3 linked regions of the Drosophila melanogaster genome follow. Changing the gene in region 1 together with any one later gene gives a genetic interaction. Each region holds a gene or a part of one and is shown in the gene's direction. Other genes may lie near its edges. The genes, in order: Rheb, foxo and S6k.

The links.
Region 2: of Rheb (region 1) and foxo, changing one enhances a phenotype caused by changing the other (phenotypic enhancement), as found in Drosophila melanogaster (one study listed by BioGRID).
Region 3: of Rheb (region 1) and S6k, changing one suppresses a phenotype caused by changing the other (phenotypic suppression), as found in Drosophila melanogaster (3 studies listed by BioGRID).

Annotation. Positions count from the first base shown.
Region 1 is NT_033777.3:5,566,930-5,570,529, forward strand, and holds Rheb (Ras homolog enriched in brain), read left to right. Parts: upstream 1-1,991; 5' UTR 1,992-2,110; exon of another isoform or gene 2,111-2,276; 5' UTR 2,277-2,293; coding exon 2,294-2,342; intron 2,343-2,470; coding exon 2,471-2,542; intron 2,543-2,645; coding exon 2,646-2,853; intron 2,854-2,912; coding exon 2,913-3,042; intron 3,043-3,098; coding exon 3,099-3,188; 3' UTR 3,189-3,562; downstream 3,563-3,600. Other genes in the region: CG12746 (uncharacterized protein), read left to right, coding at 16-431; CG2931 (uncharacterized protein), read right to left, coding at 684-1,592. UniProt on the Drosophila melanogaster protein: Binds GTP and exhibits intrinsic GTPase activity. Activates the protein kinase activity of TORC1, and thereby plays a role in the regulation of apoptosis. Stimulates the phosphorylation of S6K through activation of TORC1 signaling.
Region 2 is NT_033777.3:14,053,515-14,060,870, forward strand, and holds the start of foxo (forkhead box, sub-group O), read left to right. Parts: upstream 1-3,430; 5' UTR 3,431-3,510; exon of another isoform or gene 3,511-3,914; intron 3,915-4,226; 5' UTR 4,227-4,593; intron 4,594-7,356. UniProt on the Drosophila melanogaster protein: Transcription factor involved in the regulation of the insulin signaling pathway. Consistently activates both the downstream target Thor\d4EBP and the feedback control target InR.
Region 3 is NT_037436.4:5,807,557-5,814,912, reverse strand, and holds the start of S6k (ribosomal protein S6 kinase), read left to right. Parts: upstream 1-3,981; 5' UTR 3,982-4,512; coding exon 4,513-4,623; intron 4,624-6,924; coding exon 6,925-6,965; intron 6,966-7,356. Other genes in the region: vn (vein), read left to right, coding at 47-98; mad2, read left to right, coding at 1,899-1,971, 2,052-2,198, 2,260-2,663; kri (krishah), read right to left, coding at 2,838-2,848, 2,995-3,527, 3,593-3,834.

The DNA of each region.
Region 1 (3,600 bases):
ATATGCCTACTCTAGTCGCCTTTGCGAGTTTCGGTTTCATTGCCTATTACATTGGCGCCAAGCTGCACGCCTTTGATAGCCGGGGACGCGGCCACACCTGGCGGCTCTGCATCGCTGTGATACCTCTGTTTATCGCACTGCTGGTTGCAGTTAGTCGCACCTGCGACTACCACCACCACTGGCAGGATGTGACCATCGGCGGGCTGATTGGCCTGTTTGCAGGCTATATAAGCTACACACAATACTATCCCTCCATCTTCTGCCCTGATGCCGGCATACCACTGGTCAGGTGGCCCAGCAGAGAGGGAAGCCAGTACCAGCGACTGTCTGGAAAGGACGACAATGGCAGTCGTGGTCCCCACCATCTCGATGGTGGGGATGCGGTGCGGAGACCTCTGCTCGCTGACAAGGAGGAGTCCAAATGGTACTAAAAGCTTTACGTAATATTATTGTGAGTGTTGCTTTCCCGTTTAAGGTTTTTAAACATATTAGACAATTTCTGATTTAAAAATGTGCTGCTGGTTTACCTCGTAATAGGATGGGTAGGGTTTGTTAATAAAAACTAAGCGCGTCAATTGCTAAACGTAAATTTATTGCTCATCTTTAGCAGCAACATCCAAATCTAATTTGCTACATCAAAGTGACCGAAACTAGCCTAAAGGACACGATATGCACACTCAGATTCAAGTCATGGAATTGAAGGCCTGCAGAAGCACCTGTTTTTCGCGCTCCTTTTTCTTAACTACGTCAAGACTGCGTTGTCGCCACGTGCTCTTGCGCAGTTTGATAGGCCGGCTGCCCACATAGCGGCCGTCCATCTCCTTCATGGCCCGTATAAAGTCGGCCGGTTCTCTGAAGCTCACGAAGCCAAATCCCTTGCTCTTGCCCGTGCGCTTGTCCCGCACCACACGGGCCCGCTGAAACGAGGGGAACTTGTTGAAGGTCCGGGTCAGGACCTCGTCGTTGACGTCGTTTCCCAAGTCACCACAAAAGATGCGGAAGTCATCGTCGGGCCAGTCAGCCAGCGAAGTATCCTCCCACACGGTGCCGCCAGCGATACGCACCGTCTTGCGGTCTTTCTTTTTCCGCTCTGTTGTCTGGAAGGATTGCAGCGCCGATGATGCGCGCGCTGCCTTAATGGCCTCCTCTGCAATGGGATTGGGTCCAGACTTTTCCGCCTTGAGCTTCTTCAGCTTCTGCGTTACGTCAAAAGAGACGGCGTTGATGTCGATGGAGGGCGCGGCGGCCACGGTGGGCACGTGCACAGACTGCCGGCACTGATAAAGTTTGGGGGCGCTGCTCAGGACTACGGGAGTGGCAGACATAGCCTTGGAAGAACCACCTCCACTGCCCGTAGGCACGAAGGTGGACATAAACGTGGGTGGAGGCGGCATCGGGGGCGGGGGTACGGTCAGACGCGATCCTCCATTGCCCTGGTGATGCTGCAGCTTGTGCTGCGAGTTTTGGTACGTATTGGCGGCTATGATCGGGCGCACCTGGTTGGGCACGAAGAGATTGCGGGCGGGGGGCTTCGAGATCTCCGCCTCGAAGCGTGAGAGCTCATCCTCGATGTTGCGACGCTTTGTACCCATTTGAAGTGGGGTTTTCTCTTTTAAAAAATCAAATCAAAGCAAGTTTTTACGAAAGTGCTGCAGAAAACTCGGAGTACTAAACAAATATCGATTTCGTTCCCAATCGATTGCACTATTTTTATTTTAAAGGCCTGTTTAGACATGTCCACAGAATCAGGCTCTATTTGCAATATATAACAAATAAAACAGTTATTTTAATATCATAAAACGAAGACATTTAATATGTTTTAACTATTTAAGAAAATAACTGCGACTTTTTACACTTGATTACGACAAGCACCTTTCCGAACGGGCCTTGATATTTTCTGCAATTGTTGACCGTTAAACTAGTAGACGATAGTGTAGTGTGACGGTTCCTCATTAGCTGGCAAATGCCTTATGTTAGTAGGCTAGGAGTGGTATTTCGGCTTCGTCGACACCAGCACTGATTCAACTTCAGAATTACTGTTTTCTTTTAGACGATCTGATAAATAATACTGGAATTAAAATCGCCGGAAAAGCTCTAGCTGTGATAGAAAGTATCCTCAGCAAGCAAAATAAACGCAGAAGCAATATTCCTCATACACACATTTAAAGAAGGAGCACGGGCATACCCACACAAGCGCACAAAAAGTCGAGGGGCGACAGCAAAAACAAAAGTGTGGAAAATCACAAAACCAATAAATTTCTCCATTTATTTCAAAGCACTGGGCCCCAGGAAAATGCCAACCAAGGAGCGCCACATAGCCATGATGGGCTACCGATCAGTGGGTGAGTTTTCCCAGAAAGTTCCGCCAGAAGCACTGACACTGTTGCTGCTGGCACTGGTAATTGCGTAGTATTTCGACAACAGCAAGAACTATGATCAATTGACCATAATAATTACGCTTCGCCCGCAGGCAAATCGTCGCTATGCATACAGTTCGTGGAGGGCCAGTTCGTGGACTCCTATGACCCCACCATTGAGAACAGTAAGTGTCACATCCCATTCCGTGCGGATTTCTTAGAAGCCAGGCTGACTCCATGCTTCGATAGCAGTAGCAATGCGTAATGATCGGTAATTCCCATTCGCAGCCTTCACCAAGATCGAGCGTGTAAAGTCGCAAGACTACATCGTAAAGCTCATCGACACGGCGGGCCAGGACGAGTACAGCATATTCCCGGTGCAGTACAGCATGGATTACCACGGCTACGTCCTGGTGTACTCGATAACCAGCCAAAAGTCTTTTGAGGTGGTGAAGATCATATACGAAAAACTGCTCGACGTAATGGGCAAGAAATAGTAGGCTTCTTCCCCGTGGGTTCCGCTTGAGAGCTAAGCTAATCTTTTTTGCCTTTCAGTGTACCTGTGGTGTTGGTCGGCAACAAGATCGATCTCCACCAGGAACGAACCGTTTCCACGGAGGAAGGCAAGAAGCTGGCCGAGTCCTGGCGAGCTGCATTTCTCGAAACGTCCGCCAAACAGAACGAGGCAAGTACCAAGACGAATCACACTAGCTGAATGCAACTAAGGTACTTCCTTCGCAGTCCGTGGGAGATATATTCCATCAGCTACTGATCCTCATCGAAAACGAGAACGGCAATCCCCAGGAGAAGAGCGGTTGTCTTGTATCGTAGGGCGGCTGAGTAGCTAAAACTACGGCCGAACTGTTGGAAATACGGCAAATCGCTATGGCAATACGAAAATCGATTATCTCTTATCTACACAGTTGGGTCAGCGTGCATGGCGGGGCCGTACCCTTTGTGCGCAGCAGGAAAATCTAAAAATCTAATAGACCTAGTATTCTTAAGACCACACAGCAAGTAACCAATATCAAGCGATCTGAATGCGTCCGCTAAACGCTGCCCAGCAGGTTTTGTGGTTCGCGTCTGGCGCAACACAACAGGTTTAAGTTAGTACGTTTTTTTTACAACAACAATTCAGTTACAAATTTCATATACAAATTCTGCAAACTTTTAGTTTCAATTTAAATATAATTTTTCAAAATACTATTCAAGATTGTATTTTAATGGTCAACATTTTCGATTG
Region 2 (7,356 bases), 8.5 Mb from region 1:
AAGTGGGGGAGGGTTGAGGTTTAAAGTATTTTTATAAGTATTAGATATTAATATTAACGTACTAATAATTGAATCAATTATTACTCTGAAACTAACTTATTTATTTTTAGTATACTTCCAATAAGCCCCTCCCCTTAGCCCGCTTTCTGAGTACGCCACTGCTCGCAGAATTCCATGTGGCCACATTAGGGGGGCTCGCTTTTGACAAACACATGCGCACATAAGCATATAAGCATAATTCCGCCTGCCAGCGAGAGTTGATGTTGGTTGGGTGTCTTTTAGAGTCTTGATAGCGCCCCATCAACATCAGCGTGCGACTTCGACAGCGACACACCAACGTCACAAAATCTCGTTTTAGCCAAAGTGGCAGTGGCACAGCAAATACCGTTTCGGCCACAGTTGATCAAGCGATTATTGGGGAGGTGTTCGGTATTAGGTCACCATTGCGAAATGCTTTAATAGTGACTGATATGTATATGTATGTATTTGAGTAAATATATTATCTAGTATTCTTTGGCGCATAAACCACTTCTAAATCAATTAGGAATCACAATTTCTACTATCGCTGCCAACGAGTTAGGAAAACAATCGTGTTTCTTACTCCCTCGCACCATCTCACACTTGCAGGGCTGCCTAAAATGGTTGAGTTAACAAATTGTTAGTAACAGTGTTCAAATTTCCATATGAAACAGACACACACTGTCTCAGTCTTTGCTGGTAAACAATCGTCGGGCGAGTCAACTGGAGTCCAAGTTTGAGACCGCTATAATATGCCAATATAGCAATATACCACCACCCCCTTGCCATTAACCCCTTCGATCCATCGACGATATGCCAACACAGGCGAGACATTAAAACAGAAATTATAATTTTTTGAAGGCCAAGCGTGTGTAGAGCCACTCCGGATCGGCTCCACTTGATTTGGATCGCCTGGCTTTACTTTGGATCGAATTAGCCGGAGCATCTGGTGCTAATGCCCTGCTAAAGGGTGGCGTTTATGTTTTTTGCACACTACTCACTAAGTGCTATTAAGATCTAATAAACTGTATTGATAACGATGATAGCTGGTTGTACAACTGGGCGTATACGTAATTTACAGAGTATTTAACTGATTATCATTTATAGCAATGAAATTAAATAATTATTTGATATGTGCTGCGGTTAAACAATGTTCTTTTTTTATGTAGTTAAATAGTTATAGTTAAATAGTTTTTAAAATGGTCTAAATCTAGTTCTATCTAGTTCTAGAGAGTTTGCCAAGCATTTAGGCAGTTCGAGACCTTTGAAACTTGAGCGTCGCTTGTAGAAAGAACCCCTTTCGTTTTCGGCACTCTGGCGCCCAGAAAAGCTCCTTTCGAGATTTGGCGCGCAGTTTGAAACCTGAGTTTAGTGCCTTGCGTGTCCAGTTTGTCAAATTTGGTTGTGATTACGAGACGGAGACCGAGACGGCGACGACAGTTAGCCATTCGCCACGCGCCAACGCAAATGAAACGCTCTATACATATTTTTGTATATTTTCTGTTTTTTTTTGCCGCTGACAATTATGATCAAGTATTAGCTGGCGATAGCTGAAACGTCTGTGTAATTTCAATGGAATGGAATGGGAAGTGGGCGGCCTATTGATACACTGCTCGAGTGATTTTAACTTTTATCTGATCATTCAAACGCATAAATTAGTCTTGAGAACTTCAATTCATTTGATACTCCAGTTAACATGCTATTTACATGCTCATTTAAATGGTAGTAGTGATTTATAAGCCCACTTCCAGATGGAACTTACCTATACCAACGTGTTACTTATCGTTCTTAAGCCAACTTAATAGCATTCTAAAATATATATGTATCTTTTGGCGGACTTATCTTCTTGTTGTTCTCGCATTCCAAAATCTCTATGTACATGCAAACTTTTATTGTCATAACTCGGGACTTTGCAGACTTTGAGGCCTATTTAATAGAGCTATAATCTTACAACAAAAAAAAACTAAAAGAGCTTTTTAAGCAATAAAAATATTCTGAAAAATTACAAATTAACAAAAAATTACCCAATGAAGCCTGCAAATTTGAAATCTTTAAGATCCTAGATATGCCAAGATGCACCCTAAAGTCCTTAACTCATCTCCTTGGCTCGTTTCTAATCCCCCCTCTCGAGGGATCGAGACGATCGCATCGGGTCGGTCTTTAAGTTTGGATGATCCATAAACTGTTGGTTTCTCCGTCCTCAGCGTCTAGACTTCATTAGCCGTGTAATGTTGCGGAATTTATGTGGCAGGCACATTAAAATAACACCGATACACACTCTCATGGACGCGAACGTGTGTACAAGTATAGAGATATCGGGCCTAGGCGAAAAATGAAATTAAAAAAAAAAAAAAAACTGGCACCGGGAGGGGCTTATTTTTCGGTGGTCGGGGATGCGGGGGACTTTGACCATAAAATACATGCTCCCAAAAAGCTCGCACACTGCAAGAGATGCGGGGCACTTCTGAGTCCCATATTCATATGCACAAATGTGCATTGCTGGCATTATCAGTAGAATGCAATTTCGGGAAATTTTCCATCGCATCACGAGACAATGAACGTAAGAGAGAAATGGAGCCTCAAAGAGGGAGGGAGAGAGAGAGCTTGAGTGAACGAGCGAGCGACAATCGCGAGATAACGGCTGCCTTATCAGCAATGCCGACCGCCCCATCACCCCACCCAAAACGCCCAACCACCACCCACCGCCGCCGTTCCCTTTCCTCCATCGTCGAGAATTTCGAGTTCAGAGCAGCGCGACCGAAATGAAAAGAAACAATTTAAATTCCAAATGTATAAAATAGGTAAACTATGGCTTTTATTTATTAATATTGACGGGGGCACAAAGGCGGTCACCTCAATAGTGAATAACATGTTTTTTATAATGAATACTTTTCAAATTGTTATTAATATGCAATGACGTCTTAAATGTTTCACTGCAGCTGAACTTTATTCTTTTCATTAAAACAGTCACCCGTTATTAAAAATAAATAGATTAAGTTTTATATTATTAAATTTGTAAGTATTGAAACAATTCCTTTTTTATTTTATACGAATTATCATTTAGTTGGGGTTAATATCCCTTAAAGAGAGAAATTTGTATGCTTTAAGATTTAAAATATCTATTGCATTTATAGCTATAGCTATAACTTCTCTTATTTCACGCAGAAAATACTCAAATAAAACATATCGATTTGGCATACCCCACTAATTTTTTGGCCCCAAGTGTGTGAGAGTGTGTGAGACGAAGCGCGCCACAAACATAAAAAAGCGGTGAAGTGAGCGGTTGTGGAACGTGAGTGGATGCTAAGAGCAAGCTCTCACATACGCGGACATAGGTCGCACACACACACGCACAGACCGCCTTTTTGCGCCGCCGAAACGAACACTTTTACGAAGGCGACGGCGAATCAGTTTCAGTTGTCAGTTCGCATCCAACTAGAAAGCAGTTAACGAGTAGTCTGTGTTTTTTCGCTTGCGGTTAAAAGCCACGAGGTCGTTCATCGTTCATCGTTTTCCTTTTCAACTTCAAGCAAAGCAAATATAAACCAATGCAAAAAACGCAGTGATCTTTTGAGGCCCAAATCGTTTGGGGCCGAACACCGTTGATTCTAAAACGCAAATGTAGAAACAAATCAAGAAAGTGGAAAATAAATATGTTTCGCTTTCAAAACATGTGAATGTGCCGAACTCAAAACTGAAACGTAGAAGGAACGCGTTCGTTTTTTACATACGACAATCGTATAAAATAAGAGAAAAGCTCCAAAACGTATTAAATAGCGATGCTTGGATGATCTTCGTAGCAGTCACGTTGTACATACAAATACATACATATGTACCTACTATATGGCACATAAAATACGTTACGCACACTAGTGGCGAATAAAAAGCGAATTGGAGTAAGCTCCGAAACGTGTTTATATTAAAATTTTTTACCCATTTGAACTTTAAACAACTTTTCGACTGCGCCGCACGGTTTTCATTGAATTCTCATACGAATTCCAATTAAGTGTTGTGTGTGCGTCCAATTGGCATGAATTGATGACGTGACGTGATCGCTCTCTTCGCTCTCTCCCTCTCTTTCTTCGGCACACACACATACACACACTACGCTCTTTAATCGCGCCGCTCTCTTCGCGCTCTTTTTATTTGTTTATTTTGATTGTTGTTATATATATATTCTAATTTACCGTTTTTACAATCGTCTTTAGCTTAAGCAAAACCGCCGCCCAGCAACAACAAGAAACCCATTTAATGAGTGTGTGTGTGTGTGAGCAGAAAATTATGCCAACAGAATTCTAAAAAATATATATGTATATATTTAAATAACCACTAAAAATCAAGAAATCCGCACAAGTTTCGCTCAAAACAACAACACAATCATATATACTACCCATAAAAAAAAAACAAACCCATAAAAAAGTGCAAAGCAACCAGGAAAATAAAGTAAAACAGTGCCAGTTAACAACAGCAAACGGCGATCAACAAATCCCACCGGCAAAATCAACAATTTTTTAAATCGCAATCAACAAGGAGCAACAAATTAGCCAGCTATTTCCCATTGCAAACATTTGGCGGGTAAATATTATTAACAATTACGAGTAGGTGTACTTGATTGAATGAAAAATGTCATGTTTTTTAAGTTCCTAAATTCGATTCGAATCTAATCGGCAATTGATTGAAATATTCTAAAAGTCAAATTTTGTTTCGTCACGCGATTAAAAAAGTAATTGAAGCAGTGCTTTCCTACACATCAATTAAAATTTAAATTAAATGGTATTTTATGTTGATTACAACAACATTTTTTTTAGTCGCCACAATAAAATATTCATTCTTCCGTGAAATATTTCCAATATAAATTGCTATTGCTATATTTATAAAAATAAGCTTTGATAAAAGTTAAGAGGTTTAATAGAAACTAGAGTTAGGTTCTTTTATTTATATTGGTGTTTAGAATTTTAGATAGGAAAGCTGGACTTTTTGTTGTGTTAAAGTAGTCACATCTATTGAATTTACGACCCAAATTTTAATACAACCGATAGGGAATGTGATTTATAACCTTATTCGAGTAATTCCTAGTTTCACTTTCAAGATCAAAACGACTAGAATCATAAAGTCGGTCACGTTCGGCGCTGCAGTGTCGCTCCAATAGATGATCTTTCAGTTCGTGTGGGTTTTGATTAGTCCGTTTTGGTGTGTTACTTGTCATGGGAGTGGGCAGGGGAGATCTTAATTAGAGCAGCGCTGATAATGGCTCTAAAAATAGAGCCCCAGCGCCACACTGATAGCAGAGCTTGAAGCGTGTGTCGTTTGCGTGGAGCTCATTTCTTTCGTTCTGTGTTTGTTTGCTCCCCCGATTTTCGTATGCGATCCACTAAGGTCGATTTTGTTGCCATATTTTGCCAGCGATCTCGTATACGCACCGTTTTCAGATGCTTTTGAATATTCTCTTGACATCAGTATTGACATTGAAATGTGATTAGGTTTAATTTTCATAAATGGGTTGATTCGCCACTCGGTTAGCTGTCGAAAGAGGCTTTTTTATTCCCCATTTACAGATAAGGCTTTTATCTATTCGCAATGTGCCAAGGTACAACAGCAGCTGATGGCCCAAAAAAAGTGTACATATAAGCCTATACACACATCTGTATAGTCGTCCTATGTGCTTGCGATTGTGACTTTTATCATATCTTGAGTGTTTGCTAGCCACATTGGTGGAACGTGCCAGTTGATAACAAGAAAGTGTGCGAAAGTTTGTCTAAAAAGCTGTAATTGAAGCAGGGAAACCGGGAAGTCAATTAATTTTGAGAGACAACATTAAACGTATTCTTCGTATTCTAGTATTCTTCAAGAATTAGTAAAGCTCTTACTAATAAGCTCGTTTGAGAATGACGATAAGTTATATCGATAATGTCGATTTTACCGATAACCGAAAAACGTTAGTAATGGAAATTTAATGATCATTAAATGAGAGCCACTACATATTGTTTTGTTTAGAAAGATATAGTCGGAATACCAGTAGTTATTTCTTAGTATTATTTTGTGATTTTTAAATATTCTACTCAGATGTGTAGAACTTTTTTTCGAACGCTTCTTTTTGCTTAATTTATTTCGTTTTTCGCGCCGACCCCAAAAACGTTAGTAATGCAAATCGATTGCGTTTGCGAAGTCAGATGATCCCATCCATGATTTCCATGCGTCAGTTGTCCCAGCTGTCAATCGAAGATCGCCGTTTGGGGGCTCTACGTTCCTGGTTGACTTCGCCATCGGTCGAGTGGAATCGAATCGTTCGTTTGCTCTTTAATTATTGTAATGAATTCAATAAACATTGCAGGGCCTCTGCCGTTCATTTGCATTTGCGTTCGCACTCGCTGCATTCTGAACTATTGCACATTGCCTGGTCGGGCCTCTCCTTCTCTATATAGCGATATATATGTATATGTATATGTATATATAAATATATAGAAATCTACATATGTATTCATTTATATATATGTAATTCTCTATTTCTCTTAGTTGCTCTAGAAGCGCGTGATTCTCTCGCAGATCCACGTGCCGCCAGATAACTGCACTTTCAATAAGCTTTTATTTGAATAAGCTTCCGCGATAATTGACTTAATAAATTATTAAATATTAACAGCGTAGAAAAAACCAGAATGCAATGACTGACATGGCATCTCCTTGTGGATTTTCTAATGCCAAGTTAATAGGAAAATCATGCAAAATAGCTGGAAAGTGCATTAGGGCCCGACTGAGCTCACAAAAATGTCTTAATATATCATTTTCAATCACTGCATTACCAGATTCCTAAGTCTTAGTCACTTTCCAATGATTAATATATACACATATAAATTATTGTTATTTATTTCCCAAAACTAACTTTAATATCAAGCAAAAACGCAGTGGTACAGAAAACCAACAATTAAAGCACAGTACAAATAATATGAAAAAGAGCGCAGATTGAAAGTGCCACAAAAAAGATTTGTTGTCCAAGGTTTATGCTTGGCATTGTAAAGGGGTTATTGTGGCGTTGCTTGGGGTCAGAGGTTTGGAGGGTGCCCACCGCGATAAGCAGCTGGTCGCCACAGAGGGAGAGGGATACAAACAGATAGAAACGGGTGCCGGCGAGTGGAGCTGCTGCTCCACATGGCAACAGTTGCTGGCTGGCGGGGAGTGCATAAATATGATGTGCATTGCTTTCGTTTCAGCTCTTTATCGCTTCTTTATCTTTGGGGTTGCGTGATAAGAACGCACTCGGAAAAAAAGCGACAGCACAAAGTGTCGACAGGGAATTATTGGGAATTATTACAGGGAGTTGCGAAGTTGAAAACCTTTAAAGTG
Region 3 (7,356 bases), on another chromosome or scaffold:
TGAAAGATTAATTTTTAATTTTATTTATAATTTAATCTCTTCACAGATATTTTGTTGCAATCTACGGCCAAATACATACCTTAAATAACGACTATTAATGCATAGAATTTTGTTTCATTATTTTTATGATTTTATAAACAAAACGAAAAACAAAAAAAAAATCGAACTCCCTGCACTCCAAAAACGTGGACAATTGTAATTTTTTACGTTTATTAAAAAATTAGAGAATTTGTTGCACCAGCTGACCATGCCCAAAAACCCATCACCGTTCTCAAAGTTTGCAACTACAAAGAATACATATCCGAAAACAGAAAACAGAAAACATTTCAAAATTCGTACAATTCCCCTCGCCTAGAGTTCCTTCTTCCCGAGCGAAAAGTTCCAGATCCAGACTGACTTTAGCTACGTTTGTTCTTGTGCACGGTGACAGAATATCTTAAATGTATAAATCGGATGTATGAAAGCTGAGCAGAATTTTAAATTATTTATTTTACGAAATATATCACATACATATAACATCTAAGATCGAAGTTTGCGGTTCAAAGTTCGAGAGCAAAGCATTACCGATTCGACCCTGACTTTGACATTGTTGCGCTTTTGTTGTTGTATCATAGACAATAATTTTAAAATGATAACAAAGGTTGACGTAGCCGAGAACTTTGTAATAAATCCTGTAAATAGCTCTCGTTTTAACTAACGATAAGTTTTGTGTACATTTCAACTAAGGTAATGCAAGCCCTTCTTTAACCGTAATTTATTGTATTTAATTACACCTAAATTAAACGTAATTATAGCTATAAGCTCACACACACACACACACACACACACGAACACCCCACACAGACACCATGGAGCTACTTAATTTCGAAATACTATTTTATTTGTCCTCGTTTTTTTTGGATTTGCGCAATTTCAACACCAAAATATGTAAAATGGCAAATTAGTTTTTATTTCTTCACAATGTGTATGTTGACATCAGTTTGTATGGCTAGGCGTAAAGCAAGAAAGTGCGTAGAGATTATTTTTAGTTATTTTAAGTGGCAAATTTTTTATATATTTAATTATTGAAAGATTTATACCAAAAATACCATGTAAAGTTTAATTTTAATTTAAAACAAAACATTAAACAAACAAAAACGAAAAAAAAACAACAAAAACAAACAAAACGATGCGTAAGAAAAAACTTAATTAAAAATTTGCAAATAATTCACATTTTACAAACATCGATTGCTTTTTGATTTGGTCTGATATTCTGTTCTTGTTCACTGTGGCTTCTTGTACTTCGTTTATGATTTGCTGCTCTGCTTTTGCTGATCTTTTCTGTCAAATCAGAGGGCAGAGTAATCAAGGCTCTGACGAACCGAGCTAGGTTTTGGATAGCATAGATTAACTGGGTCCTCTATTGTTCTGGCTATATCAAAGTCTTGTCTTATTTTAGTCTCTTGGCAGGAATACGATGAACCGGATGGAACCCATTAGGCCGAACCACGCGGAATTACTTTTGCGCTCAGAAATGGATCTCATGCTTAGATTTAGTTTACACAAGGATGGCCAATAAAATTCTGAATTTGTTGCAATCAATAATTGTGTTTTGATTTTATTGCGCAAATAAATTGATGAATTTAAATATGCCGCCCTTTGGGAATTGCTTGGCAGCACTGGTCGGAGTTAGCCATCCCTGGTTCCACCATCCCTGGTCGCATAGCCAATACACACACCAAATATAGAAATATACTGAATTTAGCGAGTACATTCACCGATATTTATCGATATATTGCAGACAAACGTATCGAATGTATATCGAGCTTCTGTCATCTCTGCTAGTCAACACCTTTCAAAAATAGCGGCAATTTAGCAAATTGTTAATTTCTCTCCCACTTAAATCGACTTAAATCAACATGTCAACTGCCCAGGCGACCAAAAACTGCATCACACTCAAGGGCTCCGCTCAGATTATTGTGGAATACCTGAGTGAGTAGCAAGCTACGTCACGAAAGCGTCTGTAAGTTCGCCTGCAATGGCGTCTCTGGTTCTTTTTTTTTCCTAAATAGAGTACGGCATCAATTCGATCCTCTTCCAACGCGGAATTTACCCAGCCGAAGACTTTAACAACACGCAGCAGTATGGGCTAACCATTCTAATGTCCAAGGATCCCAAGATCAAGACCTTTCTGCAGAACGTGCTCAGCCAAACTGAAGGTTAGTGGTCTTTTGGAAAAAATTCAAGTTTATGGTGACCATTATTTGTATTCACCTATAGAATGGCTCTCGAAGAACATGATCAACAAGATCTCGATGGTCATTACGAACGCCCACACCAAGGAGGTGCTCGAGTGCTGGGACTTTAATATGCAGGCCGAGTTGGGCGATGGCGATATCAGTGATCCCACCAAGGCAACAACCACCAAGGAGCTGAGTCGCATACAGAACGAGATTCGCGACGTTATGCGGCAGATCTCGGCCACCGTGAGCTATTTGCCACTGCTCGATTGCATCTGCACCTTCGACATAATGATTCACACGCTGCAGAACACCGAATTACCGGCCAAATGGGACGAAACGGGTGCCATTGTCATACAGAATCCGCAGGCCGTCCAGCTGCGCTCCTTTTCTACAGGACTGCACAAGGTGGACACCGTGGTCAACTACAAGATGAGCACTTAAAAGGCAGTACCGCCTCATCCTAATGTTTAAATATTTATTTCGTTTCTATATTTACAATAGTGCGTAACGAACGTAACGTATTTGAGAGTTGCATTAAAAGCCAGTTGTGAAAAGCTAACAGTTGCTAAGTAGTAGTTTGGTTGGCCGCAGGGGTCGTCTATTTGTCTGTGTGTCTCAAATGCAATCTGGAGGACGAAACAGAGTGAGAGAGGGTAGCATTTGTTAGTGGAGCGCAACGCAGGAAAGGGCGTTTGTCTGGGCGACAGCTACCTATCCTAAGCAGCGCTTAGTCGTCAAGTCTGCGAGATAGACCCAAGTATCTAGTCTGTACCGAAGTATTTCTGGCCAAAGTGATTAGGTGCCACGGGATGCAGCTCGGAGGTGAGGATCTTCAGCTTGGGGAAGGCATTCACTACGGTCCGAGCGGCAATGGGTGTGCAGAAGAGATTGGACAGGATGATGCAGCTCTCGGGTACGCCGTGTTCCCGCAGCACATTCACCGCCTGCAGCACAGTGTTGCCCGTGGACATGATGGGGTACATGAGTAGCACCTGCCTGCTGCCGATGTCATCGGGAAAGCGGGCATAAACCACGCGGGCCTCATGCGTATTGGCATCGGACTCGACCAGGATCTTTCCAATGCGAATGGAGCGACAGCAGTCACGCAGTCCCTGCTCCATGGCCTCTCCCGATCGGATGATGGACACGCCGCAGTTGCCGGAGCGATACTTCAGTCCCTCGTAAATCGCACCGGTGGGCGTCTCCACATCGCAATGGGTGTAGGGCAGTTGGTTGAGCGACTCCTCGATGACCAGCCGGATGAGACGGTCGGCATAGAACTTGAAGTCACTGCGCGTGGTGTTCCTGGGGGGTAGAATTTTGTTGTACTGCTACTACGCTGCTGACTCCTCCTCCCCAACGTCACCTACTTGTCGCGCAATATGGTCAGCAGTTCGGCCACCTGGGAATTGCACTCGAGTAGCTTCAGGTTGCTGCCGTACTCCGCCAGGATCTCCTCCGATGTGGCAGCTGGCACCGCGGCATGTGCATGCGTGGGAGTGTGCAGCTGTTGCTCCTGCTCCTGGGCTTCCTGCTGCGGCTGCTGGTGATCTGAGGAACTGCTGCCCTCCTCCGACTGGGAGCCGCTGCTGCTGGGCGAGCCGGTGCGCATGACTCGGCTATTTGGTTGCTATCACTGGCTACATAAAATAAATAAATTAAAAGAATTGTACGTAGCACTTTGTCCTCCTAGCGCGTGCTTGGCTTGCTACGGCCACACTTTGTCGCGGCATTGCCGTTCGTTGCGCCTCGGTAATTTCTAGCAATTGGCAGTTAGCGCACGACTGGCCACACTCAGCAAATCACCTCGTGTTTCACTCGCAAACAAAGAAAAAAGTGCATTTTAATTACTGATTACTGCATTGCGATTAGGCGTTCGCGAACAACAACGTTTTCTTGCACATCAGCGGACTCAAAGGGCGCGCGTGGGCAAGGCATTGAGCACAGTGTCTGTGTGCGTGAGTGTGGGTGCGTTGTGCGTGCGTCGCAGTGTTGGTGCGTGTGCCCCCATGTGTGTGTGTATTTGTATTGCCATTAACTAATAAACAATAACCTTCGGGCCACGACGAAAGCCACGAAATCGGCACCGCTGCTGTTCTGTTCTGTACTGTTCCATCTGAACCAACCAGCTGAACAAGGAGACTCATAGCCAGAGACTAAAATAAATCGCCAACGCGCTTCCGCCCCCCCGCGAGAGGAGCGCCCAGTTCAGGAGCGGACCAGCGGCGATCCACTTCCCATATCCATATCCAAACAGAATCGCACTCGCCCAAACACACACACGCACGCAATGGCGGACGTGAGCGATCCCAGCGAACTGTTCGACCTGGAGCTGCACGACCTGGAACTGCAGGACGACAAGGCCAGGGACTCCGACGACGACAGGATCGAGCTGGACGATGTAAGATATAGCCCCCATTCCATGCCATCCCGTGCCAATGCGTGCCGCACCATCCCCCGATGCAAACTGCGCAGCAACAATTTCCCTCTTTGTTTACCTTTTCTGCGCTTTGTCTGCCAGTTTTCCTTTCGCTCGTCTGGGCATCCCGATTCCACACCCCCGAACCAGCATATCCACCAGCCGCACACCCTGCAAACTGGGCTTATCTGCTGCGCAAATGTCTGGCGTCATTCGGTTTCAGTCCAGTCGCCGATTATTCAGCGCATGTACATGCGCTCACTCATTGTACCATAAGTTCGACTCGATCAGAGAAAACCTCCTTACGAAACCACCTTCGATTGATATGGGCCAATCGAAGCCAGTGGTGGTGTCCTTCAAACTAATCAGCCCCAATTGCCCGCCACACTCCATGGCAGCCCCCTGCTTGCCACCGCCCCTGTCTCAGCTGATAATGCAACAACTGCAAAGGTGGTGTGCGAAGGAGAGGGAGGCCCAAAATGAACGCCGACTCGCTCGCACTCTCGCAAGTGTCTTAGCTTCCACTTAGAAAACGAAATTCCTTATCAGCGTGCCATATAAAATTAGAAAATGAGAAAAACCTCCACGCGCCGATAAGGGAGCACAACAAAATGGAAGGAAAAAGGGCAGGCAGGCAGGCAGGCGATTGAGATCGAAATCGAGCGATCGTCGAGCCAAACCGTCGTGTTTGGGGTGGTGGTGCTATACGGAACCAGTTGTAACTGCACCACAGTACACTGGAAAAGAATATTAGTTTCCATAGTATGTAGTCATTAAGTACCGAATTACTGATTACTAATTGTGCTAATGAGCGGTTCTTAAATTGATAAGTTTGTATTTAAACGCTTAAATTACTTCCCGTATTCAATACTAGTCGCAATAAATGCATTTTGGCTAAAGCAAGTTGCTAAAACTCTTAATTCGAATATTAAAAGTTCTAAATTGGCCTGAAATATATGTAATTTAGCAACAATGTGTGTACATATGCCGTCATCTTATGATGTCAATTGATTTATTTTTAGACAAATTGTGTAAAGTAATGGCTTAAAAGTACGAAAATAATCTACTAAAAAGGGAGAGAATAGCTCTTGGGTAATTATCATTTTTCTTTGTGTATTATTGGTTTTGTCTGCCCGGGGGAATTACATAGCTGGAGAAACCTTTTCGGTGTTGATAAGAACCTATCACTACCATATCGCACACCTTTTCCAAGACCTGTCGATTTACTTGATTTACGCAAGCGCGCACACCCCCTCCCTCCGCCCATCCACTGACTTTGTATGAACGCTATAAATTATGATGGATTTGTTAATTGAAATTCACCGCCAACGCTGACGAGGTGAACCAGTTTTTAATGTGCTGCGCGACGAGATGTCGAGATGCGGATTCCTATTCCGATGCCGCCATTCAATTGAACTTTAGTCAAAAATGTTCTATACAAATTTTAGGCATGACGAGAACGACGACGGCGGCTGCGGCTGCTGCTGATTCTTCTGAATCTGCCGCCCCTAACTGTGGCCTTCCTCCGATTGGAGCAGCCGCGTCCGAGGGGGCGGCAAATGGACCCGGAGGGGACGAGGAACAGCGCCAGCATCGCCGGCAGATTATTTGGCATTGTTCCGAGTTCTAAATTTAGTTTGTCATTAAGCGAAAGGTGTGTGTGCGTGTGCGGAAAGTGTACGAATGTACATCTGTGTGGATGCCACGCTCTTTCTCTCTGTGTAAATACCGAATAAGCTCCGTGTGGAGTAGTGGACAAATCGAAGGGTGGTGGAGAAACTCACTGGCTTCACATACTCCAAAGACGGATGCCATCCGAGATCCCAGAGCGAGCCCCTACTACTACTCCGATGCGATCTCTCCATTCATCGGAATCTCCCGCTGCTTAAAACGAAACTGAAAAGTGGGGCAGCACCGAATGGGGATTAAGCATGCAACAAGAAAAATAAAATATAACGATATACGATTTCCCATTTTAGAACTGATTCTTGAGCTATTTTTATTACTAAAAAAGCATATTAAAATTGTGGGCTACTAGCTTTAAGCAACCCACATATATATTACTGCTGGTATAGGCTGATTTTGAAGTATCTGTAAGATTTAGGGCCTCTTGTCTTCGTCGATGCCCGGTGCTGTGTAACTTTCCCTTCTGCTGTTTGCTCCCAAGTTCGCAATAACTATGATTAATTGTTGATTTTTTCGCATGTATACCGCTGGCAGTTATGCTCGCAAGTAGACGCCATCTCACTCACACGCCTCTCCGTCTCTCTTTCGCATTTGCAGGTTGACCTAGAACCGGAATTGTGTATTAATCTGCACCAAGAGTGAGTAATGCCAGTGCTATGCCGCCACATCGGAGGACGTGACTGTGACGTGACTTTCTGAGAATGCGGGGTAGATAGGGACCCAGATACGATCGGACTTCCTCTCCAGCCAGCTGAGCAGCAGTTAAATGAACAGCCAAATTGCCAATTATCAGCTCAGACTTGTTTACACACTGCAAACGATGGCAGTGATAGCATATGATATGATTGATTTGGCTTAGAGCCTTATCCCGGCCAGACGCAACTTAGCCTGGTCGACTCTGGACAAATCCAGATGATAAGGGACCAATAGTCGACGGACTATCGAACTAACGGACGGACCCAGAAGTGTTTACAACAGCTATTGACTACCAACTAGCTGTCACTCGGCCCCTGGCCGCCGCCTCTTCAA